Tamandua tetradactyla: one gene and its partners. The protein of the gene in region 2 purifies or fractionates together with the protein of the main gene of each other region. This does not show direct contact. Links are inferred from orthologs where the notes say so. Each region holds a gene or a part of one and is shown on either strand. Other genes may lie near its edges.

Region 1 (10,136 bases), on a different chromosome or scaffold from region 2:
ATGGCAATTCTATACTTAATTTTTAGAAGAATAGCCAACATGTTTTCCACAGGGGCTGCACCATTTTACATTCACACCGACAAAGCAAGGGGGTTCCTATATCTCCACACCCTTGCCAACATCTGTTTATATTCCATTATTTAAAAACTAACAGCCATTTTAGTGGTCGTGAAGTGGTACCTCATTGGGTTTTGATGTGCATTTCCCTAACAACGGGTGATATTGATCATTTTTTTCATATGCTTTCTAGACATATTTGTATATCTTTTTCGAGAAATGTCTATTTAAATCCTTTGTTCATTTTTTAAATTGGGTTGTTTGCTCTTTTGTTTTTGAGTTGTAGGCATTCTTTATATTTTCTGGATATTAAACCCTTATCAGATATATGGTTTCCAAATATTTTTTCCCATTCTGTGGCTGTCTTTTCACTTTCTTGATAATGCCCTTTGATACACAAAATTTTTAAATTCTGATGAAGTCCAATTTATCTATTTTTTTTCTTGTGTTACTCGTGCTTTTGATGTAAAGTCTAAGAAACCATTGCCTAACACAAGGCCTTGATGATGTTTTCCTACATTTTTTCTAGAAGCTTTATAGTTTCAGTTCTTATGTTTAGATCTTTGATCATCAATTTTGAGTTAATTTTTGAATATAGTGGGAAGTAGGGGTTAACTTCATTCTTTTGCATGTGGATATTCAATTTTCCCAGCACCATTTGTTGAAGGGACTTTTCTTTCCCCATTGAATGGATTTGACACCCTTCTCGCAAATATAAGTGAAGGTTTATTTCTGAACTTTCAATTCTATTCATTGGTTTATTTCTGTGTGGTTACGTGGCACAATTAGTTCAAAGTCAATTATTTGCTTATTTAAGTATAGGTAAGGACCCGCTCTATGTAAACTACTGTATTGGATGTTCAAGAAAATAAATAGTACATTATCCCCTGCATTCCGAGATACTTGGTTGAATTGACAATATACATGAAAAGGTGAATAGGAATGCATGGCAGATTGAGATAAATTTTACAGAAAAGCATGGTAGGAGTTTTGAGATTATAGAGTGGTGATCTGTGATTATTTTGTACTGTGAAACCAAAGAATTACTGAATGTCGTAAAAGAACTCTGGTTTTATGATTGAGAAAATAGGCCAGAAATTTTAGTGGCTTCAGGTGACATCTATGGAGTAGCAGAGGTTTTCTGTCACTTACTACTACACTGCTTGTAGATGTATTTCTAACTATCCCCAAATCTTTTCAAATATTTATATTTGCATTTTCAATATAAGCAGTTTATTGTACTCAAACACTGGGCTCTAAAGCCAAAATGTTTGGGTTTGGATCCTGGCTGTGCCTCTTACTAACTCTGTGAGGTTGGGGAAATCACATATCTCTGTGCTTCTGTTTCCCTGTCTATAAAATGGTTATATAATAGTACCTGTGTCATAGGGTTGATTTGAGGATTAAATAACTTATTATATGGAAACCTCTTTCTAATTGTGGCCTTATCATAAGAGCTATTAGTGTGTTATCAGTCTCTGAGAGAATGGAAGGAAAGGAATTGTCTTTTTTTTTTTTTCTTCTGTTTTCAACCACCTCCCTCAGATTCTGATCAAAGCAATCAGGTGGATGTTCAATAAATACACATTAGCTATCTTATCCTATTGGATAAAAGGTATATTTTTGTATTTCAGAAGGAGACTTGGGATTTGGGCAAAGGTGGTCTAACTCAGTACTATGGAAAGTCTAGAAAATGAAATTCTGAGTTGATAACAGATTCTAGGATCCAACAGCCTCCCTTAAAAAGTCAGTCAAAATTAATGGGTGTTGAGAAAAAAGTCAGTGCAAAATTAATGGGGCAATGAATGTAATTCCAAATGAGCTTTCCCTTCTATTTTAAGATCTATGCCAAACTTCCTCAGACAAAACCTAGCCTTTTAAGGGAAGTGCAGAGAAGATGCTTACCTGGGTTTGCTTTGAGGGAATGTTTTAGTTAAGTGCCTTATCCCATCTTTGAGGTGGCTGCCTAGATTTGTGAAGTGAGGCAATAACACTGACTCCTTCTGAAAGAAGAGATGCCCTCTCAACACAGGAAGTGTAATTACAATGATACTTCTTTAAATCTAATTAAGCAGCAGTAGCAGCAGCAGCTGCTGCCAGGGCCAGCCTGGTTACAGGTCGGCTCAATATTCAGATTAGAAAGAGCAAGAAGCATTTATCCCAGGGCACTCTTCTCAACTCCAAATTACTGCCAAAGAAATTCTGGGATGAATTACAAGCAAGGGGTTGTCGCAGTACTAGGGAGAGTGGAGAACAGGTGGAGGTGAGAACCTATAATCAGGGTATAGAAAAATCATGGAATATTTTGCAGGGATTTGGCACGACCTCCAGCGCCATCTATCAGGAAATCTAGGACGGAGAAGAGTACCAAGGCCTTCCAAATTTTCCGGGTTTGGCAATGCAAAGCACATCGCCCAGCCCTGTCAGCATTTAGGGGATATTGGGGCTAAATAAGCATCAAAAGGACTCTCGAAACGAAAAAAAAGTAACACAAGGTCGGCTTAGGTTTCCTTTGTGGGAGGCGGGGTTAGTGACGGTCAGGCTCCCGCATAGCATCAGCAAAGGTGGAAGAACTAAGGGTCACCGCGGACATAGGAGCCCAAAGTTTGAGGCGGAGACAACCGGCCGGGTCTCCTGAATCCCAGGGTCTGTCTGCACACAGCCTTTATAAGTTCCTCGGTTTGAGCCTCGTGTGTAGGTTCCCGAATCAGGCACTGTTTTACTGAGCGTTTTTTTCAACGCCTGGCTTAAGAGCTGACTCTTGAGCCGGCTCTCAATAACATCTGGGAGCAAAAAAGTAGCTTTCGAGATTTGGGGCAGAAGGCACCGGACGGTTTTATTTATTTTAGGCTTGGCGTTCTGCTGTTGCCATAACCATCTGCCAGGAGATTTCTTTTCCGATCACCCTCCTCCTCCACCTTCTGTCCAGGTGACGTCGGCAATCCTGGCAGAATCCGCCAGGGGCTAAGCGGTTAAGCCGCGTCCTTCAGGTGTCAGCCTCATTCCGTCTGGAAACCACAATCCCCAGGATCCCTTTTGCATGGGGCCAAGCCACAAATAAGATGGCTCCAGGGGGGTAGACCGTGCAGCGGGGAGAAATCCTGATACCTGGCAGTTTGTTTACCGGATGTGTTTAAATAACCGAATCCCCACATTTGCACCACCCAGCTAACCACCTTCACGGCGGCGAAGGCCACGGCAGGCACTTCGCCCGTTCCCCGAGGGGCATCCTGGGAGTTGTAGTCCAGCCGGCGGCGGCTCAGAACTACATCTCCCAGGGTGCCCTGCGCGCCGGGACTATCAAGGTACTTTTCCAAAACTCGGTCCGCACTGAGACCCCATTCCCTGACCCCATCCTCCCCCTAGTCGGCTGCCTCCGGTTTATCGCGACAGGGCGGCGGTCTCAGGGGAGGCTCGGCCCTGGCCGCGCAGCCCCAGAGGCACTTCCGGCGGCGGTTCACTTCCTGGCTGGGTGGATGGAGCCGGGCGGGAGCGCGCGCGGGGGAGGGGCGGCGGGTCAGTCTCCGCCGCAAGCTGGGAGGATCAGCTGGCGGGCTGGCGGGCGCCGAACGCGGCCCCGGCTCTCGCTGCAGCGCCGCCTCCTAACCGCGTCGTACGATCCGACGGCCGTGACAATGTCGCTGGGCTGGTAGCCGAGCGCTGGCCGCCGAGCCGTCTCAAGTGGGTGCCGCCGGGATGCTGCCTCGCGGGGTGGCGGGGAGGATCGGGGAGGAGGGGGAGGTAGTGCCCGGCCGGGGTCGGCGCTGCAGGAGGCGGCCAGAGTCTCTCCTTTCTCCGAGCTCGGGTCTCGGCGATCCCGGGTCTCGGCGATCCCGGGGTCCGGGCCGGGGATGCGTTTTCAGCCTCAGAGGTTTTTCTACCCCAAGATAATGCATGAAGCGTTTCCCCGGGATGATGGCTTTGGCTCCCCCTTAGGTCTCAGCAATTGAATTTTTAAGTGTGTTACTGATTCATCCTCTCTCTCTCTCTCCCTCTGTCATCACAGGTTTAAACTTACACGAATCGCTCTCCTGAGGAGGAGGGGACCCGCCGCGCGACTGACACGCATATTCCTATAGGCATCCTCCCTCAGCCCCCACCCCCTCGCCCGGATTCGGGTGGCTCCTTTCCGAGCTGAAATCCGAGAAGAAATCCTTGGATCTCTTGTTTCCCTTAAAAAAAAAAAAATCTAGAAACCATTGGCTTTTTGCTCTTTTGCTGTTCCTTTTTGCAAGATGAAGAAGTTTTTCGACTCCCGGCGAGAGCAGGGAAGCTCTGGCTTGGGCTCTGGCTCCAGCGGAGGAGGGGGCAGCACCTCAGGCCTGGGCAGTGGCTACATCGGAAGGGTCTTTGGCATCGGGCGACAGCAGGTCACTGTGGACGAGGTGTTGGCGGAAGGTACGGTGGGACTCCGTCTGTGCGCCGAAAATGAAAATCTTGCTGATACGGCAGGACCCTGGTTGTCTAGTTGAATGTATGAATGGGTTTTGACCAGTTGACCCTCCCTTCCCCCTTCTCTTGCCCTGTGATTCATTGTCCTTGAGAGATTTAAAACTGAGATTTGAGAGTGACAGGGCGTGTGGAGGTTGTGGGGAGGTTGCCGGAAATCGTTTACCTTAGTGGCCTTTTATTTTTTTAAAAAATGTTGAGAAGCCACCCTTGGCTGTCTCACCGAATTATGAGGATGAGATGAGAAAACGTATGTATGAAGGTATAAAGCTTTATATCAAATACAAGGTAGTAGGTTTGTCATCCCCATGAAAGTTGAATTATCGATGTGGAGGCTGAAAGGGTGGGGATGGGAGACCTTTAAGAAAAGAGAGGGGCTTCTCTTCCCACCCAACTTTTCCACTTCCATGGTCAGCCTTTGGAAGGAAGAGGATTTTTGGAGAATGGGAATGTGTTTTTCTAAATTTACAGCTGCCACAGCCAAGGGTTTTGCATTTGACTGGGTTTGCTTCCTGACTTAATTGTAATCAGGTTCCCAAGATGTAGTTAAGATAGAAATTATATGAAATGAATGTAGTTATTTTGAATTCAGTGTTTTGCAGGCCCTTCTTGTTTATTTTTTTAACCCAAAGAAGATTACTTAAGGTGCTAAAACAGTGCTTTTAATTTTGTTTCTCTTCTGTTGGAGAGCATGTTATTTAGATCTGCTGTGTAAATTCCCTGTGTTGTGTGTGCATCTGTAGATCTATTAATAATGTAGATATATATCTCCCCCACCCCAGGCTTTAGGGAAATCTTTGCATGTCTCTTGCTAACCTTAACCTCGACCTTCATAATTATGCCAGACTCATACTTTTCACAGCCCATTGCCTGCCTAGTGTGCTTTTATTTTTAATAAAAGCAGCAATTTCCTTGGCATGAAGCTATTCAAACTAATTGGATGGGGCCAACCTGCTGTAGGTTGTGATATAGAACTGAGAGGCAGATGGGGGAAGGGGTGGCCTCTATTACTGCAACATAGGGGAGAAACAATTTATTAGCTGGGGTATGGGGAGGAGGAGAGAAAACCAAGAGGCCCCTTTAAAAAGGAGCCTTTGGCAAGCTAAGGTTGAACGAAGGGTCCTGACCTGGGCCTGGAAGATGCCTGTCATGGTGAGTATTGCAGGCCCGTGGGCTGGGAGGAGGAAAAGGCTGTGTTTGGCTCTCTGCTTGTGTAAGCACTGAATTCAGCAGGGCCTAGTTCTCTGGGGTTGGATTGAAGCCTGTACTTTAAAAACACTGTTTTTAAAATGATGTCTGACAATTATGTCTTTGTGAAATTATTGCCCTTTTCCATTCTCACTACTGCTCTAACTGGACTTAATCTGGGGCCTGAGTCACTGTCCCTCAGGATACTTCTTTGTGGGCTTTGGTGCAGAATGGGAGATGTTTCTGTGCCCGCTGCCAGATCCGCACCCTTGAGTCTGATCTGTCTTTTTCATCCCTGTGCTAAAGCCCTTGACTGCAGTGGGGGGTGAGGGTGAGGGGTGGGGTAGGGTGGGGAGGGGAGGGAGTGTGTATGTAAGAGAAATCAGGAAAAATGAGGAGGTGCCTGGCTCTTTCCTCCCCTCAGAATGGCCTCTGCTGACTTTATAGGCTAGGGGCATTTACTTTATGTAGCATATTGTCTCCTTACAGGTTCTCCTACCCTAAGCAGTGCTGATCTCAGTTCTCAGAGATGGAGAAGAGTGATGTGGAAAAGAAAAGGGAAAAATCGGTTTTCGTTACCTAGATTGCCCTCCTCTTCCTTGAAATTTATCCCTGAGAACTGCCACATCACATATTATGATGTTTTTTATGTGGAATTTAGGACTTGCAGCTCTTCACTTATTTATTAATTCATTTGCCAAATAACTATGGAGCACCTATAATGTGCTTCACACAGTACTAGTCTCTGTATTGAACTAGATACTGGAGTTACAGACTACTTTGAGAGAGAGAAAACAGCCACTTATAGTAGAGTGGTAAGTGTTAGCATGGAGATAAGCCCAGTTTTAGGGAGCCAAGAGTTGCCTACTGGAGGAAGTGACTTCTAAATAGAACTGAGCAGGACTTAACCAGGTCTTAGAGTAACAAAAGAGAATGTGATGCATTTGGGAAGATTAATAGACTTACATTTTTTTTTTCTTTTAAAGTTAGGATTCCACAGAGGTGAGGTAGGGTTTTAACCCCTCTTTGAAGAGACAGGGAAAAGAGGTGATTGGCCTTAACTAATTAATTTTTTAAATAACTGGTTGTAGAAACCGGGTCTGGCAGTGTTACCTTCCTTATGGTCTTTGACTATAATTGAGTTTGAAATTGTGGTTCATAGAAATGTGCAGATATGTAGGGAGCAGTAGACAAAGTATGCAGCACCTACCACCTAAAAAGGCACTCCTAGGTTCTGAAAGGTCTAAAATGTGGTATCTGCCTTAAGAAGCTGCCTATGAATTTGGGAAGATAGGCCTACATTCACACATACAGTAGGGTGGTTACTAGCACTGGCTTGGAGAGTCAGAATGTCTAGGTTCAAATTCTGGCCCTGGTCTTTATCAGCTGTGGAACTTTGGGCACAGCATTTCACATCTCTCATGAGTTTCTCTACGGCAGTGGTTCTCAAAGTGTGGCGCCTGGACCAGCAGCATGTATAACTTTGGGAGCTTGTTAGAAATGCAAATTTGGGGGCTTTATCCCATAAACTGGTTGGGACTTTAGCATGTTTCCCTGAGAGATTCTGATGCAAGCTAAAGTTTGAGAACCACTGCCCCTTGGGGTAGTCTTGGAGATTAAATAAGATAATATATATAAAGAAATATTTCTCATGTGTTCAATAAATGGTTGCCATTACTTTCCAGCAACATTACGCCATATATACAGTCTGTGGGAAGGACCAGTGGTATAGACAATGTCAAGGCTACTTTGGCTGTAGCATTATGAAGTATTCATTTTCCCCCATTGTATTTGGGCAGAGCCCGTTCTTTGCAAAGACCTCACGAGGTCTTTAAAGGTTCAGTAGATATTTTGAGTAGCCTTGATCCTTTCCTCAACTTTCTCCTCTGAGTCCCCAGGTGGTGACCTGTCTACCAGCCCCAGCCAGAGCTGTCTAAGGACAGTCAGAGCTGTGTCTGGAGTATCCAAGATAGTGGCCGGGCAGTACAGCAAGGGATGGGAATAGGGGCTTCTAATACAGACCCTGTTGCTACCATCCCACTGATTATCCCTTTTGCTTTAATATGGATGTGGGACTATGTTTCATAGTAAGAAATTGCAGGAACCCCAAGGAACAGGTGCTGGAGCAGACAGGATAATATGTAGACAGGATAATATGTAGACAGCTATCTCTCTGTCACCAGCATTAGTCCTGCTGGCCTGGTTTCACTAATTAGTCCACAGGGCCTTGTTGGCCTGGGGGAAGTGAAGATTCTAAATCCCAAGTTAGTGGGTTATGGCTATCTCTGGGCTGGGTAGGATAATTTCTCTCTAGCTTTCTCTGTGAAGATGAGATGCTAAATTGTCCAGGTTAGTAGGCATGTGATGTCAAGTGAATATTTGGTTTGAGCTTCCAGTGTGTGCTCAATGGGAAAATGAAGCAGTGCTCCAAGGATTGAGAAGCTGTGTTTTCATTATACCTCCTTAGCTAAATGAGGCCTTACATCTAAGCTTAAAGCAATATTGCTTAATTAAAAAATATAAACAAAATATGTTATTGTTTGTTGAATTCCTGCTATGTCCAAGACAACATTCCAGAACTGCATCAGGTGGACCAGGTGCCCCCCAGGACAGTTTTCTTACCTACACTATAGGAATCCAGCTCTAGGGCTAATGAGGACAACTAAGACTCCATATCAGTAAACTTTGATAATTTTTTTTTACCTAAGGTAGTAAAGCTTAAAAATGTATGTGGAACCACCTAAAAATATATGTAAGGCATTTAGTTGCAAGGTGTTGGTAGTTAGCAATATAACGTATGCATGTATTAATTTAGTGAGTATTTATGGTGTCTTCTTTGTGGCAGGCACTATAATATGTTCTGGAGATAGAAGAATGGGCCATGGGACTGGCTCTTAAGGAGTTCATAGGCATCAAACGACCCACTAGCTTTTGATTTGCAGTAGATGGCCATAGATGTTTGTTAGAAAGGTGTTATGAGATGATAAAGAGAAGTGACCCCAGGATGAGGGTTTATAGATGACGTATAGTGTAAGCAGGAATGGAAATTGCCCAGCAGATGTTCCATGCAACAGTTATGCAAGACCTTCCAGGCTGAGAGAATAACATGTGCAAAGGTGTGGTGTGGTGAAACAGTATGGTCAAGTTCTGGAAATACTGACTAGTGGTGTCATTTTGGTTAACACAAACTCCCTCTTCCAGAATTGAGGAAAGGAAAACTAAGAATGGTAGAATTAAATTCCCTATATTTTGTCCCTGATGTGCTTGCTGCCCAGGACCCTTTGAAAGTAGCTGCTGAATAGCTATCAAGTATGCACTAGTCTCCTACTGGGCTTTGCCCTTTGCTAATTGTGGTGCAAGGGAGCATCTGGTCCCTAGGGAGAGAGTGGTTAGGGACGGTTCCTGGTGGAATCAGATGAGAGGCAGGGAGCTTGAAGAATTTGGACAGAAGCAGGAGAATGAGATGACCACTGGTACAGAAAGGAGTGAACAGAAGGGTGTCTGACCAGAACAGGTGGTATATGGAAAGAATAGGAAGAAAGGTTATAGAGGGTTTTGAATGCCAGTTAGAGAGGTTAGTGGTAAGCACCTAAGGTCTTCTCGACCCATACACCAATTTGATCCCTTCCACTGGGATGTCTTTGCCTGCCGGGAAGTCTGGTTTTTAGAGGCAACTGCAGATTTTCAGGGGGTGGTTTGTGAATGGTGTCTTCTTCCTGGCTTTGGGCATGATGACGGTTATAGCTTTGCTAAATATAGCCAAATCTAGGATTCAGAAATGAAGTCCAGAATAAGGACTTGCCATGGTTGAATCCTGTCCTTTGGTCGTTCTATGAAGTCATGCTCATTTAATGACAGGTAATGAGGAGAGTTTCAGGTGGGATTCAGGTGAGATGGTATATGTGTGGGGGGGCATACTCTTGCATCTTGATAGCTGAAACTGCGTGTAGAGTACCCAGGAAAGGCTTGATGAATATTAGCAAAACAGGCGTGAAAAAAATATTGCAACGGAGCAGTCATTTTAACTATCATTATTTGAAAGTTGGCACTTCAGAAAAGGATCTAGAAACTACCATCTACTTCCAGGCCCTCTTAGGATGTTTTCTGAGATTACATAAAAAATAACTGATATCTGCATCTGAAAGAGCCCCAAATTATAACAGAACATTAATTGTCTACTGAAGTAGCTTCTAGCACTGTGAAGTAGCAAAGAATAAATAGTCTCTCATCTGCTTTTTCAGAGCCACACTTTGGTGTAGGAATTGGGGGATCAAGATTTGTTTGTTCATTCTTTGCCTTATTCAGTAAGTGTAAGGCCCTCATTGTTCATTAGGCATTGTGCAGAGTTGATTAAGACATGGCCTTGCCTTGAGGAACTTGTAGTCATAGGACTTGAGACACAAAAGGAAAGGAGTAGGGGAGCAGACATGAGGGAGCAATTT
Region 2 (10,136 bases):
GAAGCTCCCCAGGAGGCGTTCTCTTCCTTCATCTCCAAAGATCGCTGTCTGGTGGACTCTGTGTGGTTTTCGTGGCTCTGCTGTCATTCTAGTGGATCTCCCATCTCTCTGTGGTGGTTCTGAGGCTTTCTCCTCATTCTCAAACGGAACTCTCTCCAAAATGTCTCCTCTTTTATAAAATTCCAGTAAACTAATCAAGACCCACATAGAATGGGTGGAAACACGTCTCCATCTAATCAAGTTTAACACCCACAATTGATTGAGTCACATCTCCGTGGAGATAACCTAATCAAACCTCCAACCTATAGTCCTGAATAGGGGTTAGAAGAAACCGTTGAATCCACAAGATTGATTAGGATGAAAACATGGCTTTTCTAGAGTACATAAATCCTTTCAAACCAGCACACCATTTAAACTGTCTCTTTTGTGAAGTGCCTGTTCAAACCTTTTGCCCAATTTTTCTATCATATTAGATTTTCTTTTCTTTTTAATTACACAATGCATGAATTTGTCCTTGTAAAAATTTAAAATACCCCAGCTAAGATTCAGGTTCCTTAGACAACCCACCCCAATCTCACTTGCCTCTCCAGAGGTGTGTTTTCTTCCAAACCTCTCTCACTACATTTAGACACATACAGTATAGCATAGTGGCTAGAGGCATGGACTCTGGAGCTGGAATGCTTGGGCTTGAATCCCAGCTCCACCATTATGATCTGTGTAATCTTGGTTAAGGTACCCAACTTCTCTCTACCTCACTTTCCTCATCTGTAACATGGGACACCATGTGCCCCTGCTCTAAGAAGGACTCCACATCACTTCTGTGATATTCATGCCAAAAATGTTAACCTGAATCTATTTATTGAAAAACATCAGACAAATTCTAATTGCAAAGCCACTGACCCAAACACTTCAAAATGTGAATGTCTTAAATGACTATTTGAGATTAAAGGAGACTAAAGGAACACGATGACTAAATGCAACCCCTGACCTTGAATTGCATTTTGGAGCAAAAACAAAATCTACAGGGGATGTTACTGGAAAAATCAGGGGTTTTTTTTCCAGTAACATCCCCTGTTTACTAGGTAATGGTAGAGTAGTAAGGTTAAATTTTCTGAATGCGATTATTGTATTTTGGCGATGGAGGAGAATGTCCTTGTTCTTAGGAAGAATATGTTGAAGCATGAAGGCTTTGGGGTGAAGTATGAAGGTACCTGCCACTAACTAAAAAATAATTTAAATGGTGAAGGAGAGTAAATCTGGCAAAATGTTAATGATTGGCAAGTCTAAGTGAAGTATATATTGGAGTTTATTGTACTGATATTGCAGCTTTTTTGGTGAGTAGGATTTCTTTCAAAATACAAAGTTGGAGAGATAAATAAAAAGAAAAACCAAGTAGTATAATGTGACAGTATCATTGTGCACCTCCCATTGCTTTAACATGTCTTGGGGATGATCCATGTCAATGCATGAAAATCTAGCTGATTTATCTTGTTTTAAAAAAAATTGTATTGAAATATCTTCATGAACCATACAGTGCATCCAAACTATAAAAGCAATGGATCATAATATCATCACATAGTTGTGTATTCATTGCCATGATCATTTTTAGAACATTTGAATCACTCCAGAAAAATAAATAAAAAGAAATATATATATATATCCCATACCCCTTACCTCTCCCTCTCATTGACCCACTACTATTGCAGTCTACTCAATTTTTCACCCCTTATCCTCTCCCTATTCTTTATTTTTTTGTCACTTTTTAAAAATTCATCTCTTCATACCCTGGATAAAAGAAGCATCAGCCACAAGGTTTTCACAATCACATGGTCACGTTGTAAAAGCTATAGTCATACAATCGTCTTCAAGAATCAAGGCTACTGGAACACAGCTCAACAGTTTCAGGTATTTCCCACTAGCCACTCCAATACATCATAAACTAAAAAGGGGTATCTGTATAATGCATAAGAATAACCAGGATAACCTCTAGGCTCAGTTTGAAATCTCTCAGCTACTGAAACTTCATTTTGTCTTTTCTCTCCCCTTCTTTGGTCAAGAAGATTTTCTCAATCCCATGATGCCAGATCCCAAACTCATCCCCCAGAATCATGTCCCATGTTGTCAGGGAGAGTTATAGCCCTGGAAGTCATGTCCCATGTAGGGGGTGGGGCAGTGAGTTCACCTGCCGAGTTAGCTTAGAGGCCACATCTGTGGCTTATTCATTTTAACAGCTGTGTAATACTTTGTTATGTGACTGAATCCTGGAATAGGTGACTTCTCTCCTATTGATACATGTTTCATCTGTTCTCATTTTTTTTTCTACAATAGTAATGGCCATGACCAAGAAAAGAATTTTCCCAGGGACCATTCTAAAGTAGAAGAGTTGGGACTGATACTTCTTGTCTGTCTATGGCATCTAACCTCAGACTCCAAGCCACTCAGATCATGAGGACAGAGATGAAGTCTGCTTGATATTCTACCCACATTTCTTCTCCTGCTTGAATCCTCTGTCCCCTCCCCTCAGTAATCTACTGATCCTTCTTCCGAGGGGGACTTCTGGGATGAGATCATAAAAGACATTTCAACTTCCACCTTGCCCTCTCTTGAGTCCTTCATTTCGGGGGGAAATAGCTGCCATGTGAAGATGCTCACATGTATTTATGGAGAGATCCACTTGGTGAGCAGCTGAGGCCTCCTGCTAATGGCCACACTAGTGTGCAGGCCAGCAAGTGAGCTGTTTGGGAAGCAGATCGTCCATCCCCAATCAAGCCTTCAGATGACCACAGCCCTGGCCAACTTGCTGACTGCAACCTCATGAAAGACATCAGGCCAAGACCACTAGCTAAGCTGCTCCTTAATTCCTGACTCACAGAAACTCTGGGAGACACTAAATGTTTATTGTGGTTTTGTGCCACTAAGTGTTTGGGAATTCATTACACAACCACAGAGAACCAATACAACACTCAAAGTATCCTGTAGTTTTTCATCACAGGATTGTTATTTCTTATCTATTTGTGTAACATCATTTAAACCTATGCCCCATTGCTAGGCCATGAATGCTTTCACAGCGGGATCAGTACCTGTTTTCTTGCTGCCGGTTCGTTCTTCCATTCATTCATTCATTCATTCAGCAAATGCCAAGTGCTACCTATGCTGGGCATTAAGATGAGTCCTGGAGATCAAGACCAGAACGAATGTGAGGCAAATTTAGTGCCCAGGGAACACGATTTAAGGAAGCACTCACTTTCATCCTCATGCAAGGGCTGAGTGGACACCTCAGAGTGAGCGCCTTTTAACTTTTCTCATTTTTTGTGCATGAGTGATTTTTTAATTTGACACCCTGGGTGCCTTACTTGGTTCACCCTAGTCCAGCCCTGTTGGTAATGGAGCAGTGCAAAAGTCAGAATAATCTCTGGGCTCTGTTTGCCCTTGTGTTGAATAGCCACTCATGTGTTTGTTCTTCTGTCAATATCACATTTTCAACTTACATACTTTGATAATATGGTGATTATTATTAGGGAAATTATGCTCTTGTTACTAATTCTAATTATTTTATTGGGTGCTTACTATGTGCTGACAATCTTCTAGGTGATAAAGATAACAGTTAACAGACAGGAGCCCTACTCTCAGCGAGCTCACCACCTCACCTCATGGGGGATCTAGACGACATACACACACAGACAAATAAAATCATTAATAGTTGTAATTACAGCTATAAAGAAACCAAACTAACAGCTAATCTAGAGAGAAATGGAGGGAGAGAGCTTTTTTCTTTGAAATATATAGGTACTCATTTACTAACAATCAACTTTTAATATCTAGGATTATAACAGTAACATTAAGTATGTTCCTGAAAGTTACAAGCTAAACAATGAAAAACTCTAAAATTAGAAATCAGGGTCCTGCACCCCTTCTCAACTTGAAAAAGTCAGAAGAGGCATCCCCCCCAAAATCTCTATAGATTGGGAGAAGGCTTAAAGGAGACATTAGGAGGTACAACAGAGAAAATGGGATTTCACAAATAAGTATGACTGCTGAATCCCTATATTAGTATTCCTTCTAGCCTCCAGTGTTTGGGAGCAGCTAGAAGGAAAAATCTGAAATGGTGGAATGGTAGCCCATGACAAACTCTGGGATCTGTTTTGTAACTACTTGTTTAAATGAGCTTTCAAAATTATTGCTTTTTTCTTGCTTTGCTTTATATATAGACATATATTTCAAATAAAAATAAAAATTCAGGGTCTTATATGTAGGTTTGCAGAGGTGGTAATTCCAGGCCAGCCATGGAAACTATGGGGGAAGGCGCTCCAGGGAACAGCAAGTGCAAAGGCACTGAGGTGAGAAGGCACTTGCATATTGGAATCACTGAAAGAAGACTAGTGTACCCCTGGCTAGGGAGTGAATGAGAAAACCCTATCACATGACATCGCTTAACAGTGAACATTCATAACGTTAAAGCATTTTACTTGAGCACTTTTTATGTGGCGGGCACTGTGTTAACTTTGGAATCTTTTCGAAGCTTTAAAACCACCCGACCAAGACAGATATTATGATAATCCCTGTTTCCCAAATGAAGACTTGAGATTGGAGAGGTGAAATCCCTGGCCAAAAGTCACCAAGGCTAGTGCGAGGGCAAGATTTCCACACAATTCTGACTCTCAAATTCACTCTCTTAAGCCACTGACCATCTCTTACAGGGAAACCTTCCACATATTTAAAACAAAGCACTGCGTGAGCCCAGAAAGACACTTTCTCGTTTCCTACCACAAATTTCTTATTCAAAACGTGTGGGAGGGGAAGGGGAGCTCTGCCTTAACTACATTTCCCAGAAGGCAACACTCACTACGATGGTTGTCATCCATGTCGGGAATTGTAGTCCTCTGAGGAAATGTTCCCCCAGAACTCTCCCCATGCAGCAGGGAAGTGGGTAAAGGACAGTCGCGCAGCATGCTGGGAAGAGGACCAGGCTCTTTCCCCACATAGCTTGCGTACGGATGTACAAACGCTTTCGTGGAACTACAACTCCCAGAGGGCCGTGCGCGAGAGGGCGAGGCGGGTCTTTTACCGGAAGTCCGCTCTGCCCTGGGCCCCCGACAGCAGCCAGAGCCGGAGCCACCCAGTCGCCACGGGATCTGGGCCACTGGGGTCCGGACGGGGGTCGCCATGGTAACGGGGCGTGCCCACGCCGGGGACTGGCGGAGGGGGGTCAGCGTGCAGACACCTGGGCGCTAACAAAGCCCCCAGCCACGGCACGATGGTCTGGGCCCGGCGCGGGCTCGCAGGGTTGGGGCTGATCTAGGATCGAGAAAGGAGGGACAGGGTCGTGATTCTGCACGCGGGGGTGGGCCAGGGTCCCGAAGCGAGGGGGCATTGGAGACGGGAAGGGTATGGCAAGGGAAGAGGGCAATACAGGTGGGAGACATCGGAGGCGGTTGAGGGTGTTTAAAACTGGAGAGGTAACTCTCGAGGAAGGGTCTCGGGAGTAGGCAGACGGCTCTGGAAGTGGGGAGCGGGCGTCTCAGAAGGAGGGCTCTCCAGGGAGGAGTTAGGAGCGTTGGGGAAGAAGGGGAGACATTGAAACAGGGCAGGGGGGAGGGCAAGAGAGAGCAAGCCGGCCTTGCAGGCTAGGAAATGGAGTTGAAACTGGGGCAGGACACTGCAGATGGAGGGAGATAATCTCCAGGGGAAGGGACTGGATGCTAGAGGCCAGAAGTAAGGCACTGCAGGGAATGGGGCTTTAAATAAATCAGGGAAAGTATGCTGCAAAAAGGAGAGTGAGTGAATACTAGAAATAAATGGAGGTGCATTGGGGCAGGGCTTTCCAAGAGATGGGTTCTTTGTGGATAGGAAGTAGATGTACTCTTGGAGCAAGGACTGAGCATTGGATTTGTGGAGGGGGCTTTGGAACAGGAGAAAGGGCCTCTGGACAGGGAGTTAGGAAAAGAGATGAATGGAGGAAGGGGTCAGAACAGGATGTGTGTGTGGTGGGGTGAGTCTCCCCAAGGAAGTAGTACCTTGAAGGCAGGATGGTGCCTGTTAGAACAGGAGAGGAGTTGAGTCAGAGGAGGGATGTCTCAATGAAAGGACCAATTGAGGTCAGAGAGGGGGAATTGAACATGAAAAAATAAAGGTCAAAAGGGAATGTCTCAGGCAGGCCACGGTGGCTCAGCAGGCAAGAATGCTTGTCTGCCATGCCAGAGGACCCGGGTTCGATTCCCGGTGCCTACCCATGTAAAAAAAAAAAAAAAGGGAATGTCTCCAGGGAAGATGGAAAGGTTGGGGGTCATTCAGAGGGATGAGGGTACAGGAGGGAGGGGGTGTCTCAGAGTAGATTTCCAGAGGTGGAGAGATTCTAGCTGGGAGGAGAAACAGGGAAAAGGTATATGAGAGCACTTAGGGGTGACAGGCAGAGCCCTCCCTCAGCTCTGTAGGCCTGCTTCTAGCACCTCTGGCTCTGTCCCCAGGCTGTGGCTGCCTGGTGTGGATCCTGCTCTCCCACCCCCATGCCCATATACTCCTTCCTGCCCTGCCAGGAAGTGGTTTTCCTTGGTTCAGCAGAAGAGGTTCTTGGAAGTAAAGTGTAATATCCTGTTCCCTTCCAGCTTGATTGGTTAGGGGAGGAGAGGTAGAGCATATGGAGAAAGAGATTTAAGAAAGAGGCTGAGACTCCAAGTAAAAGATGGAGGCTCTACAAAGCATGTTAAAAGGGTTCAGAGCAAAGCTCTGCTTTCTGCCTTTGGAGACTTCCTTTCCTTGTGCCTTGGATTCCTCACCTATGAAATGGGCATAAGCATGCCTGTCTCAACCAGAAGTGAGCCCAAAGGCAGGCTTCCGAGCTGGGTGAGTTTGGGCCCTGGTTTTTCTCAAAGCCAAATAATGATGAATTATAATACTAATAAAAACTAATACTTACATGACATTTAACAAGTGCTAGTCCTATACTACACCCCTTATGTTTATTAACTCGTGCAGCAGTCCTGTGAGGGAGTTATTCTTATTGTGTCCATTATACCGAAAGAGCAAACTGAGGCCCCTAGAGGTTAAGTGACTTAACCAGGGTTACACATCTCACTAGCAGTGAATGCTGGGACTCATTCTGGCTCCGCTATGTGTGCATTTAGCCATTTGGCTCAAATGCGTCCCGGTCATAATACTGGCTCATTTTACTGAGCACTTTTGGCATTAGCTCATTGATTTTTTACAGCAGCCTATGTGGGTTGACCTGGCCTTGCAGTAGTGTCATAACAAATTTTCTCTCGTCAGAACAGATGAGAATTACAGCTGACACTGAGCACTTACTCTCAGCCTTGAATCAGGTGCTGAGTGCTTCTCACCTCTTGTTTCCTTATCACATCCTTATGAGAATCTATTTTCCAGATGAATAAACAAAGGCACTAAGCAGTTAAGGTACTTAAAAAATGGCAGATACTTTGGAAAACAGTTTAGCAGTTCCTAAAAAAAGTTGATCAGCTTTACCAGTGGCTTAGCAATTCCACTTCTTGGGTCTATAGCCCAAGAATTGAAAGCCGGTGTTCAAATAAAAGCTTGTATACAAACGTGCATAGCAGGACTATTCACAACAGCCCCAAAGTGGAAACAACTAAATGCCCATCAACAAATGAGTGGGACAAACAAGTTGTGGTATGGATGGCCGTGCGATGGGATTTTGTTCTCCCATAGCGAGGAAGGAGTGTCAATACAAGCCACCACATGGCTGAACCTCAGAAACATCATTGTGATGTAAAAAAAAAAAAAAGCCAGGCACAGAGATCACTTAGTATGTGTTTCCATTTACCTGCAATGTCCAGGATAGGCAAATCCATAGAGTCAGAGAGCAGATTTGTGGTTACTGACGGTTGCGGGTGGAAGCGGAGGGCAAGCTGGGGGATTTCTCTTTGGAGTGATGAAAACGTTCTTAGAATTAGATAGTGGTGCTTTTTGCACAACTCTTTGGATATGCTGAATTGTATACACTTTAAATGGGTGAATTTTATGGTGTATGAATTATATCTCAATTTTTTTTAAATTAGTAAGGGGGAAAAAAGTGGCTGAGCCAGGACTCAGACACTTATTGAGTGCCTGCAGTGTGGCAGACACTGAATTAAGTTTATAAACATTTAACCCTCAAAACAGCCTGACAAGGAAGGTCTTCTTAGGAAATGCATTTTGTAGGCGAGGAAACTGAGGCTTAGAGGGATAGGGCCCTTGTCCAAGTTCCCGCAGATGAGAGGTGGTAAAGACTGATTCTAGCGGCTTCCTCTCTACTAGGTGGAAGAGAAGTCACTCCCTGGGTGTTGGCAGGACTGGGGATGAAAGGGGAGGCCAGACCCCCGGAAGGGCAAGCACAGAGCAGCAGAGAGGGGGGACCCCTTCTTCCCTGTGTGGGTGGGGCAGCTGGTGTGCCCTGCCTGGCCCGTGCCCTCCTTCCTGCCCTCCCTGCCCTGCCACCCGCCTGCCTCTCACTTCCTCCTTCTGTCCCCAGATCCGCTTCATCCTCATCCAGAACCGGGCGGGCAAGACGCGCTTGGCCAAGTGGTACATGCAATTTGATGACGATGAGAAACAGAAGCTGATCGAGGAGGTGCATGCAGTGGTCACCGTCCGAGATGCCAAACACACCAACTTTGTGGAGGTGACGGACCCCCCTGCACACACACACACACCTGCCCCCGACCCCTTCCTTCCCTGCCTGCTGCCCTCCCACTGATGGCAATCACCCTTCAGACCCTCCTCCTTTCCTACACTCATGCATGCGATGCATTTTGACTTTTAGCTTTCTCTCCTTTCTTTTCTTTTTACTTTTCACTGTGAGCATTTGCAAGCGTATAGATGACTATAATGAGTGAAAAGTTGGTTGAGGATGAATATACCTGCCACGGATCTAATTGGTATTATTTTGCCATCTGCTCTACCTTTTTCAGTTTTCGCTAAAGGATTTTTTTCCTGGTCCCCTTTTAACCCTTATTATAGAAATTTTCAAACACCTGAAAGGAGATGGAAAAGAGTAGTGGACCTCCAAGTGCCCATCCCCCTTGCTAAAGCATTTTGAATTAAATTACACACACCCTAATGTTTCTCCCCTTAGTATGTCCAGTTGTATCTGAAAAAATGAAAGCATTTGCTTACGTTGCCACAGTGCTATTATCGTACTGGAAATATTAATAATAATTTCTTATCATTGCTATCATGCCCAATCAATATTTAAATTTCCCCCAATTTTCCCAAATGAGTTTTTAAAAATGATTTGTTCAACTCTTGTTCAACTCTAGTAGAAAATCTTGCCTTGCTTTTGATTGCTGAGTCTCCTTGCTATGTCTAAAGCTATGTCTTTACCTTTTCGTTCTCACAACATTAACCAGAGCAAGCAGACTGTCCTGCAGAATTCGACAAATATTTTTCCAGGGTCTACTGTGGGCCAGGCACTGCAGATACAGCGGTGGCCAAGACAGACGAAGTTCCCAGCCCTCGGGTTGCTGTCATTCTAGATGGGGGGTGACACTTAAGCGTATGGTGTCTCGGGTAGTGACGAACACCAAGGAGGAAACTAAGCAGCCACAGGAGTGAGTCGTGCTGGGGCATGCGTGCCATGGAGTGGAGGGCAGTTTAAATATTTTGGTTGGAGAAGGTCTCAGTGAAAAGGTGATTCCAAGACCTGGAATCGAAGAGAGCAAAAGGAGCTGCTCTATGAGGGAACATTTCGAGCCAAGGGGGCAGCACGTGTGAAGGTCCTGAGGCAGGGACATACCCCGGGCATTCTAGGAAAAGCAAGAAGTCCAAATGTCTGAGGTGGAGTAAGCCAGGGAAAGGGTGGGAGGAGATAAAGTCAAAGATGTGACGAGGACAGATGGCATAGAGCCTCGTGGGCTAAAGTGAGGACTCTGAGTGAGATGGGAGCCAGAGCAGAAGTACGGAAACCACTTGGGAAACAACCCCAGTGGTCCAGCTCAGTCTTATTGATCACTGGAACCATGATGGGAGCACTGGAGGTGGCAGAAGTGTTTCGGAATTGGAACCAACTGAATGGAAAAGGAGCCAGGAAGGATGTCTAGATTTTTGTCTTCTTCAGCCAGTAGGTTGGAGCTGTCATTTTTAAAGTGGGGCAGACTTTGGAAAGAACAGGTTTGTGGGTGTAGATC
Region 3 (10,136 bases), on a different chromosome or scaffold from region 2:
AATCCTTCAATAGTTTACAATGGCATTTTTGATAAAACTCAAAATCTTCAACATGGTATACAAAGTCCTGGACTCTGATCACCTCTCCAACATCATGTTGGGTACTTCTGTGTGATTCACTCATTTTAATTCACAGATCTGAGCATATTTCCTGTTACTCTCCCCAATGTAGCACCTTCTCTCTGTATGACATGCTCCATGCCACCCTTACCCTCACACCTCTGCTTTTAGCTTATAACTTCTCTCATTCTTTAGATTTCTGCTAAAAAAATCAAAAAGGTCTTCCTTGATTCCCCCACACACATAAACTGAATCAGCATTTTCTCATAAAACCCTGTGCTTTCTCCTCATAACACCTATCAAAATTGTTAGCTACATTAACGTAGTGATTTCTGTTTAACATTTGCCTCACACACTAGACTATAAACTCCATACAACCAGAAATATATATGGTTTGTTCCCTACTGTATAAGTAGCACATAGCACAGTGCCTGGCACACAAACGGCATTTAATAAGTAGTTGCTGAGTTTAACAATTATTGACATTTTTGTGAAATTTTCTTTCTTCTTTAAAACTCTGTCCTCGCTCAGGAAGTTCAAACTAGAAGTTACTGAGTAGTTTCAGAGGATTTCTGCAAATGAGATCTCATGCTAAACACATCATCTTCCTACTATATTACAAAATCAGATGTACATCACTCCTTTATGTAAAACTAACAATTACTATCTTTCACTACCTAGACTAAATTCATTCATCCTAATCTGAGGAGTTAACTCAGAGAAAGCTATTTTTACAGAACTCTGTAGTAAACTCATGGCTTTCAATTATTGACGCCATCAAGCCCCATGCCCATTTGTTGTTAAGTATCACCCATATCTCCACATTCACACTACCATACCTATTCAGCCCTCATCACTTTGTTTCTTGATTATCTCAACAAGTTAGCACTGGTCTCTGAGTCTCTACATTCTCCATTTATTTTAGTCCATTTGTACTAAGGATACATATTTTTACAAGTCTCCAGCTCAAGAACCAACTTTTTCTCATTATCAATCAATATTAAATTCCTCTGATTAGCACTGAAGGCCTTCTTCGGCAACATTTATGATTAAAATTTTATTAAGAACTCAGAAGGTTACATTGATTGTATGTGCTTGACAAATGTTTTGAAACTTGACACTGTCAAGCTAAAATTATATATGACTCTACCTCATTTCTACAGACCAAAGTTAGGATTTGCTTAGCATACCCTTCTGATACCAAACCATTTTGAAAATGACCATGAAAATGCCTATGTTTTATCAGTCCTGCTAACTTTGAGCAGGAACTAAAAAGGTGGAAGTTGTTAGCATGCAACCATGTGGTATTTTCAAACATATCTCGTATTTGCCTAGGAAGAAATTAAAACTATACAAAGCATTTAATATATTTCAGGAAATAAACTACTCCAACAGTTAGTTACAGAGTACAACCTAAGTATACTCCTGAGAGCCTTTTATTTTAAAAAAAATCTTAAATACACATTATATATAAAAAGAGAGAGAAAGACTGATGGAGACTGACTTATTGAAAAGACTGCAGAGGTCTTTCTGAGAAAGCTACCTATATTTGCAACAGCATGGCAAAAACACCTCAGGGCACAGTATCAGCTGGCCCTGATCTTGTTCAACACTGACACAAAGCAAAAATAAAAATGTAAAATCTATCAAGTTTGTTTTTTGATCTGCCTTAGCTTTCACTACTTTCTCACTCTGTGGTATCACTCTCTACAATACAGATACTCTAATGCCTTTTCACCAGCACTTGTTCCAGTCTTTAATCAGGCAGATGTATGCGTCAATTATTAATTGATCATGCTTGAATTGAACCAGAGTTGTGTTTAAGCAAGCTGTCTAACTGAGGCATTACTTATTTTGCAGGAAAGAAGCTATTAAGCATCTGAAATCAGAATAAATCTGTCAGAATTGAAAAGTAAACTGAATACAGTTATAATAATTCCAGTTGTGTATGTGCTAAAGAAACAAGAAAGGCACAGGAAAAGAAAGCCTAGTCACTAGTGTACCCTCCAGGGAAAGCTTAATGGGGATGTGGGAGTGGGGGGTGGGGGGAGCTACAGGAGTTTCTGGTTTTTCTTCAACCATTGCTTCCTCTCTTGACTTAATCCTATTCTCTTGTTACTCTATCCAGAGATTCACCAAAACATATTTTGTTTCCTATCGTCATCTATAACTAGTATCTGATTATTGACTTTTTCAAAAGAAAGGGCAAAATGATAGCAAAAACGGTGGAACTCTAACAGTGACTTAGGGTTTGAGAAGTTATTTTTTTTGTGATTTAGTGAAAACACCCCTTTTGAAATTACTTTCTATTTTCTATTAATTTCTATCTTCTATTATAGACTTGTAAAAATACGTATTCCTAAAGTCAGTTATTTTTTATTGAAAATGACTTGCTTTGGGCAGTACTAAAATTTGATACACGCTATAAAGTCAAAATCTAGCTAGAAAAAAATGTCAATGTTTTCTTTTTACTAAATAAAAGACCCCTCTTGGATTTAGTGAAATGAGTGAACGCAACACTACCTAAGATGTACTACTTCTTAAAACCTTCAACCCAATTCAAACCACCACTCAAAACTTATATATAACATAGATCTAGGAAATTTCACAACATAGCAAATCTATCAGGACTAAGAACCACACAGTCATTCTGCTGAGAAGCTAATGATTCTTCCCTTTTCACTTTTCCAAGATTCAGGTAGGATCATCATATCCAGGCCTGAATAATTCAAGATTTCTTTCTTTTTGCAATATTTTGTATACAAAAATCTCCAGGTTTCTCTCTTGCTCTTACTTGCTGTGGTTTGGTTTGCTATTGTTCAGTCTAGATTTTCACACCAACATCTGAATATGGGCAAACCACAGCTACTTTCCTCCACTTCTTTTCTCTTAACTTTGGAACTTAAAAAGATTACTTTAAAAGAAATTATCTCTGGGCAGGCCACCGTGTCTCAGCAGGCAGAGTTCTTGCCTGCCTTGCTAGAGACCAGGGTACGATTCCCCGGTGCCTGCCAATGCAAAAAATATTATTTCTTATGATTGTTTAAAGTATTTATTTGTAGTATCATTTTGCAATTTAATAACCTCAAAATCAATGTAGTGTACCATAAACGAGAGAATTTACTATAAGCCACCTGTACAAGAAATATAAGACTAATTTGTAGGATCTCGCTCTCTTTTCCTTAATGGAGTAAACTTTTTGTAAGCAGACTTGTAACTGCTGTCACAACCTGTTAGAGAGAATGAAAGATGGATCACAAAACTGCGCAAGGATAAACTAACCTTTTAAAGTGCTACTATAGAAACATACTGGAAGAGCATGAATAAGCACCTTGTGTGATAGAAAAGATTTTGAATTAACACAGATAAAGGGCTTCTAATTTACCTGCTCTCCCAAAGTAACCTACTAACTGAATTTAGGGCAAAGTACCACCTCCAGCCCCCCTACCCTCACCCCATCGGTTGTTTCAAACTGATGACAGAGCAACAGCAAAGCCAGACTCCACGACTAGGGACTGCAGGGTCCTGCGCCCTGCGGCGCGGGACTCAGAAGAAACCAATGCATGACACCCGCCTGAACCACAGCTGGCAAAGCGGAGCCTCAATCTTGCTGGATCTGACCCGCTAATGAGTCACTGGTCCAATCATGACACCACCTCACTTGCTAGGACGTTTTCTATTTATTTCCTCGCGTCAAGGACAGAAAATGATTTAAACTCGTAATGAGAGAACGGGGCACTGATCAAAGCTGCCAGCGGAGAAAAAAAAAAAAAGGCAGCTTAAGAACGAAAGTCCGAGCTACTTAAGAAACCCCTCTGGGCCACAAGAGGAGGTAGAGAGAAAGAAGAGTGGGCCAAGAAGACCAGGGGAAAGGCCGGCGAGGATCGAGCGAAGACACCGCCACACCCCAGCCCTCCCTCACCTGCCTGGCCGAGACTCCCCGGTGCCCGTACCTTCGGCCAGCGACTCCTCCAGGGTGACCTGGTAGCGCCCAACCGCAAACACGCGGACCCCCAGGGACGAACCACTTGAGCCGGAGCCGGCTCCGGCCACCACGACACCAGCCGCACCGCCGCTGCCGCCGCCGCCGCCGCCGCCGCCCTCCGACTTCGGCATCCGAGAGAACTTCTTCATGGTCCCGCCGCCGCGCTGGAGAGCGGAGCGCGCAACGGAACGAGAGAGCTAGCCCCCAGTCCGGCGCGCGGCCAAGCGTCCGCGAGGGGTCGCCGCTCCTCACGCGTCCGAGCGTCCCTGCGCGTTGCGGCCCGCCAAGCCTCGCATTCCGCACACCAAAAGCACACAGCCCCGGCCCAGCCGCCCGCTCCGCGGCTTCGCTGCAGTTACCCCACTCCCGCAGAGGGTGGCGGGGAAGGCGGGGACGGGGCGGGGCGCGAGGGGGCGGGTCCAAGTGCGGGGGCTACACCGCCTCCTCCCCCAGTGCCCCCGGCGCTCCAGCCGCTTTGCGAAGCGGTAGAACCGCGAGCCCAGGAGGAGGGGGTCAGTGAAGGAGACAGAGAAGGGCGGTCAGCCCCCCCCCGGGGAGTGAGCTAGACCTTTCCGGCTGTACACCCTCAGGGCTGCAGCCTGAGGCGCCGCCGCCGCCGGAGCAAGACCCGGACCCTCACCACCACCCGCCACTCGTGGCTGTTGGCAACGCGGCACCGCTGCCAACCGCTCGCTGAGGCCCGGCGCCCCGCGCAAGCGCGCTATTCGCCAAGCCGGAAGTGACGGTTTCAGCTCTTGTCACGTGGATGGAGAGCCGTGGAGGCGGCTGTGGGGGTTGGGGACGAGGGCGAGGTTTGGGGTCTGGGTTGAAGAGGGTTCGGGTTAAACTGTGGGGCTCAGCTTCGCACAGGGGCGTGGTCCAGGGCTCGATTTCACCGCTACCCTTAGTGAGTGTGTCGTCTCGAATGGGAAGTGGTCTGTCAGTATGGGGGCTTAAAAATGCCGCCAATAGCTTAACCTCCACTAAGGAACTTTTTCACTTTCTAGGCCAGTTTTCCAGACACCTTCCCGCCCCCCGAAAATCTTCTCCCTCTCACCCACTATAAGCGTGAGAAGTAGAAGCAGTGCAGAATTAGAGCGGATTCCAGAAACCCGACTTCTAAAGCCACGGTGTCGTCGCGCTCTTGCAGACGCTTGTGCTGGGAATTGTTTTGTAGTTTATAAATACTTGGGAGTACTTTAAAACCCCATGTGTGCTGTCCAGCAATCGTGTGAGGTATTCAGAACAGGTATAAAGTCCGCTTTACAGACCATTCATCACCTTTGGCTAGAAGTTAACCAATTACCTTAAGATCACAAAGCTGGCTTGAGGTAAAACTGGAACTAAAACATCCATCCTTTTTATTCTTGGTTCCGTGATTTTGCCCGTTTTGAAAAAGTAGGATCAGAGTGTCGAGAACTTTGCAAAACAGGCAAAATTAGAACTATCTGAAAGCAAAAACAGCCATTGGAATCCCCCAACCCCACCCCTCAAAAGGCGATCTGTTCATTTTTAAAAATTAAAAAGCCTTATTGCAACAACTTAATAAATTCTGCAGGAGTCTCTTGTGCATGCAGGGGTGAGGCAGGCAATACGAAAGCGAGAAAGAAGCTGGGAACAAGACGTTAGGGAGTGTCGGAGACTGGTAAATTCGTTCCTCAGTTCCAATCTACTTTTCCTAATGCAATACAGGTCCACTGTGGCCAGAGGCTCCAATTTCTTAAGGGAGGTATTTTAGGCTGAATAAATCGTGCCTGCACGACTTCAGTATGTTCTTTCTGTGGAAGTAGAGAAATGTGATTCTATTCTCCCCAATTTCCTCTACCATCTTCATCCTCACCCCTCTTTCTTTATCTGACTTGGGATACAGACAGAAACGTTAGAAAACGTGCTTAGACAAAAGAGACTTTGAACTTTAAAATTCTCTTTGCCTTCTTCCCATTTATTATTTGAAGAGAAACTAATTTTTCCCGTACTGAAACAGTGCTGTGGACTTAGGCATATCTGCTAAATAACCCACTAAACTAAGTTTTTCATCCAGAGACTTGACCTTTAGTACAAGCCAGCTCTACAGACGTCTGGCTATATATCAGATGACTGATGTGGCAAGACAATTGGGGATTTCCATTTAGAAATAAGCTGACCACTTTCCTTACTGTGGGGATTCACTGTGGAGTCTCATTCCTGCAATATTTGAATTATATTTTCAAGCAGAATAATGGAGAAATTTAAACATTTTGTGCCATTCAAAACCGGAATCAGCCTAACATAAAAAGTTTGGACTTAATTCAATTTTATCAGAGCCCAGCATAACGAGAATAGAGAATAAAAGAAAATCGTTTCTAAAATGTACCAATATAACTCAAGTTTTTATATTGAAGTTTATAATTAAAATAAGGCATATGGCTCCTGTCAAAAACTAAGGTAACTCCAAACAATGTTCTTTAAATTTTCGCCAAACATATAATAAAAGTTGAATACCCTCTGATCATCACAGAATGTTAATGCCACAAAACAGTTATTGCTAAAAACAAAAGAATGCCAAGTATTTAAAAACATCTTTAATATCAAAAAGGTGATATCTATTGTCAGATTGTATCCTCTTGGCAACTTTGTAAATTAAGAATAAGAATCCTTAACCCAAATTTAGATTTGGATAGTTAATAAAAGTAAAAGAAAATTACATTTCAGTTTTTTTATAGATAGCTCAACCTCTCAAATGTATACAGCTGTATTGCTATCAAAATAGTTGGAAACTGTTTATGCAGATTAGTATGATACCTTGATACATCCCAGAGTAATTTAGGCAGAGAATTAAAAAGTGTTTGCAAAGTCCCCTTGGGGGACTAGGGAGAAAGTAGGACATATTCCACTTGCCCATCTGGGAAATTCCTGATATTCTCACAAACAGTGAGGACAACCAATTCAATAGGCAGAGCCCTCGATCTTGGGTTTTGCCTTTATGAAATTTATTCCTGCAAAGGAGAAGCTAAACCTACTTATAATTAGGCCTAAGAGTCACTCCCGGAGAACCTCTTTTGTTGCTCAGATGTGACCTCTCTCTTGAAGCCAACTAGGCAGGTGAAAATCTCCCTGGCAACGTGGGTAGAGCCAGGATCCAGCATCATGGGATTGAAAAAGCCTTCTTCACCCAAAGGGTGAATAGAGAAATGAAACAAAGTTTCAGTGGGTGAGAGATTTCAAATAGAGTCAAGTGGTTATCCTTGTGGAAGTTGTTCTTATGCATTATATAGATATCCCTTGATAGTCTATGATCACTCCAATGTGGCTAGAGGGAAGTACCTTAACTGTTGACTATGTTCCAGTAGCATTTTATTGATTCTTGAAGACAATTATTCAACTATATAGCTTTTACAGTGTGACTGTGTGATTGTGAAAATCTTGTGCCTGATGCTCCTTTTGTGCAGATTATGGGCAGACGAGTAAAAAAAAATAAGGTAAATAAATAAATAGGGGGGATAAGGGGTAAAAAAAAAAAAAAAAAATGACCACAAGTTGAAATACTAGTGATCAATGAAAGGGAGGGGTAAGGGGTATGGACTGTATGAGTTTTTTCTTTTTCCTTTTTACTTCTTTTTCTGAAGTGATGCAAATGTTCCAAAAATTATCATGGTGATGAATACACAAATATGTGATGATACTGTGAGCCACTGATTGCATACTGTGGATGGACTGCATTGTGTGAAAATTTCTCAGTAAAAATATTCTTTAAAAAAATAGTTGGGAACTAACCACATAATAAAGATTTTTTTAAAAATCTAAATGTTACTTTACTTTGCAAGATTTCACATTATTCCCACAAAGTTAATAGATCATGGTAACTGAAAGATTCTGAAATACTTAAACAATGTTGCCAGTGAAGAGAAATTAATATTATAGTTTTGTTTTCTACTTGAAAACTACAACCCTTGTTTTAAGCCCCATCTACTTTGCATTAGGGTGGGTCTCAAAGATATATGTGGAATGAGAAAGACTGACATTGAACAATATGTTTAGCCCAAAAGGCTTATTCCAATGCCATAATTACCTTGATAAGTCATCTCTTCCAGTGCCTGATTAATCATTTTCCCTCCTTCTCCTTTACTTTTGATGATGTATCTTCTATCGTTATTGGCCTCACTGTGTTTAACTATCAGGAATAATTACTCTCCTTGCCTAACATTATTAATTATACCTCATTAAATATCCATATATTTCCCTAAAGATTGAGAGAAGGATCAAAGGAGGAGGCATTATATCAGAAAAGATAGGATTTTGAGTTTGACTACTGAGTCATTATATTGATATTTCTGTTTAGTCTCCAGTGTCCTGGAGCAGCTAGAAGAAAAAAACTGGAATTGTAGTACCATAACCTATAGCTAACTTTGAAATCTGTTCTATAAATACTTGTTAAAATGTACTTTAAGATTTATTGCTGTTTTGTATACATGTTATATCTTACAATAAAAAAAGTTTACAAAAATTTTAAAGTCCATATATTTGCCTTCCAAAAAGTAAAAGTTTTAAAGTCCATTAAAAGGATATATACATGTCACAATATTTAAATGGTATTTGAACATCACTGATACTTAAATCCTCTATTAAAACTACTCATCATCCCTGTCATGTGAAAATTTACATATACATCTATGAAAAATTAATCTGATTGTATAGTTTAAAATTCTAAGCTGCTCACAAATATTCTTAATAGGAAAAATTATTCATTTGACATGAAATACCTTTCTATGATTATTTTCTTATAATTTTCTTAGAACTTGACCATACTTTTAAAAAGGCCACAGGAGGTAGGCAACTTCGTCACTAAGAGATCCCCACATAGCTTAATGGAGGAGCCTCTACTTCCAGAAACAGAACAGCAGCCTCGAACCTCTTGGCAGCAGTAATTTCCTGAGAAGTATTTGCCCAATGTGGGATAGCAATCATATTTCTGTGTGTTCTACCCTGCCTACCATCCTCTTCTTGATTGCCTTTACATTTTCTCTTATTGCCGACTTACTATCCCACTCCCAGTTTCATTTTTATAAAACTTTAGCAGAGTTTAAAATGAGAGCTGAGTTTTTCCAGGTCAAGATGGCGGCTTAACAACGTGCGCATTTTAGTTCGTCCTCCAGAACAACTACTAAATAACCAGAAACAGTACAGAACAGCTCCTGGAGCCACGATACTGACCGGACACACAGTGTACCCAAGTCTGAACCAGCTGGACTGGCTGCGAGCACCCGCCAGAACCATGAGTTCCCAAAGCTGCGGCGGCCAGTGCCCCTCCCCCACAGGCCACTTCCCAGGAGGGAAAGGAAAGGACTTTACCAGCAGCAGGGACTGGGCACAATCAAACGCCAATTGTGGAACTAATTAACAAATTCTGACTACTAAAAATAGGCCCCCAGCTTAGGTGAACCTGATCAAAGCGGAGGTTGCTCATTTTTGCCCCAGCGCCAAGGGGGCAGGTCTGACAGAAAAAGGAGAAAAAAAAAAAAGGAAACAGAGGTTTTTGTAGCTGTGCATCTACAAAGGCTTGACTGCCTCTGGATACAGCGGCAGGACTTTTCAGGCTGCAACTGCCCCAGGCATAGGCACAAGTGAGCTCTTTTGGGGGTTTGTCTGGAGCCTGTGCCTTCCCCAGGGGAGGGGTGAAGCCCCACCCAGGTGGAATCCCTCCATCAAGGAATTCAGACACCAGGGCTTGGTAATTTGAAGCCATTAAAACCAGCCTACAACCTCTCCTCTGTCTCCACCAAGCCCCCAGTAGGGAGAGTCTGCCAAAGTTAAAAGTACCGCATCATCTTATGCTGGTGGGACCTGCAGTCAGAGAAGCACCACATACTGGGCAGGATAAGAAAAACAGAGTCCAGAGACTTCACAGAAAAGTCTTTTAACCTGTTGGGTCTCACCATCAGGGAAAACCAATGCAGGTGACTCTTTCCTCCTGATAGGAGGCCAGTTTGGTCTGGGAAAATCTGGCTTGGGTCTATAATATCTAAGTAGACCCTCCTAAGTGTGTGGGGGGAAAGGCACCACACAAACCGGGCAAGAAACAAGAAAACAAGAACTGAAAAATTCTCCTCTGTTA

The links.
Region 1: the proteins of AP2S1 (region 2) and AAK1 purify together in Homo sapiens (affinity purification with mass spectrometry; 4 studies listed by BioGRID and IntAct, counting the BioPlex papers as one, with this or other methods). This does not show direct contact. The link is inferred for Tamandua tetradactyla from reciprocal best matches to the Homo sapiens genes AP2S1 and AAK1.
Region 3: the proteins of AP2S1 (region 2) and BMP2K purify together in Homo sapiens (affinity purification with mass spectrometry; 4 studies listed by BioGRID and IntAct, counting the BioPlex papers as one, with this or other methods). This does not show direct contact. The link is inferred for Tamandua tetradactyla from reciprocal best matches to the Homo sapiens genes AP2S1 and BMP2K.

The regions. Positions count from the first base shown.
Region 1 is NC_135343.1:43,106,969-43,117,104, reverse strand, and holds the start of AAK1 (AP2-associated protein kinase 1), read left to right. Parts: upstream 1-3,291; 5' UTR 3,292-3,362; intron 3,363-3,585; exon of another isoform or gene 3,586-3,738; intron 3,739-4,063; 5' UTR 4,064-4,292; coding exon 4,293-4,455; intron 4,456-10,136.
Region 2 is NC_135342.1:14,399,933-14,410,068, forward strand, and holds the start of AP2S1 (AP-2 complex subunit sigma), read left to right. Parts: upstream 1-4,988; 5' UTR 4,989-5,163; coding exon 5,164-5,166; intron 5,167-8,482; coding exon 8,483-8,632; intron 8,633-10,136. UniProt on the Homo sapiens protein: Component of the adaptor protein complex 2 (AP-2). Adaptor protein complexes function in protein transport via transport vesicles in different membrane traffic pathways.
Region 3 is NC_135350.1:49,752,169-49,762,304, forward strand, and holds the start of BMP2K (BMP-2-inducible protein kinase), read right to left. Parts: upstream 4,759-10,136; 5' UTR 4,195-4,758; coding exon 4,014-4,194; intron 1-4,013. UniProt on the Homo sapiens protein: May be involved in osteoblast differentiation.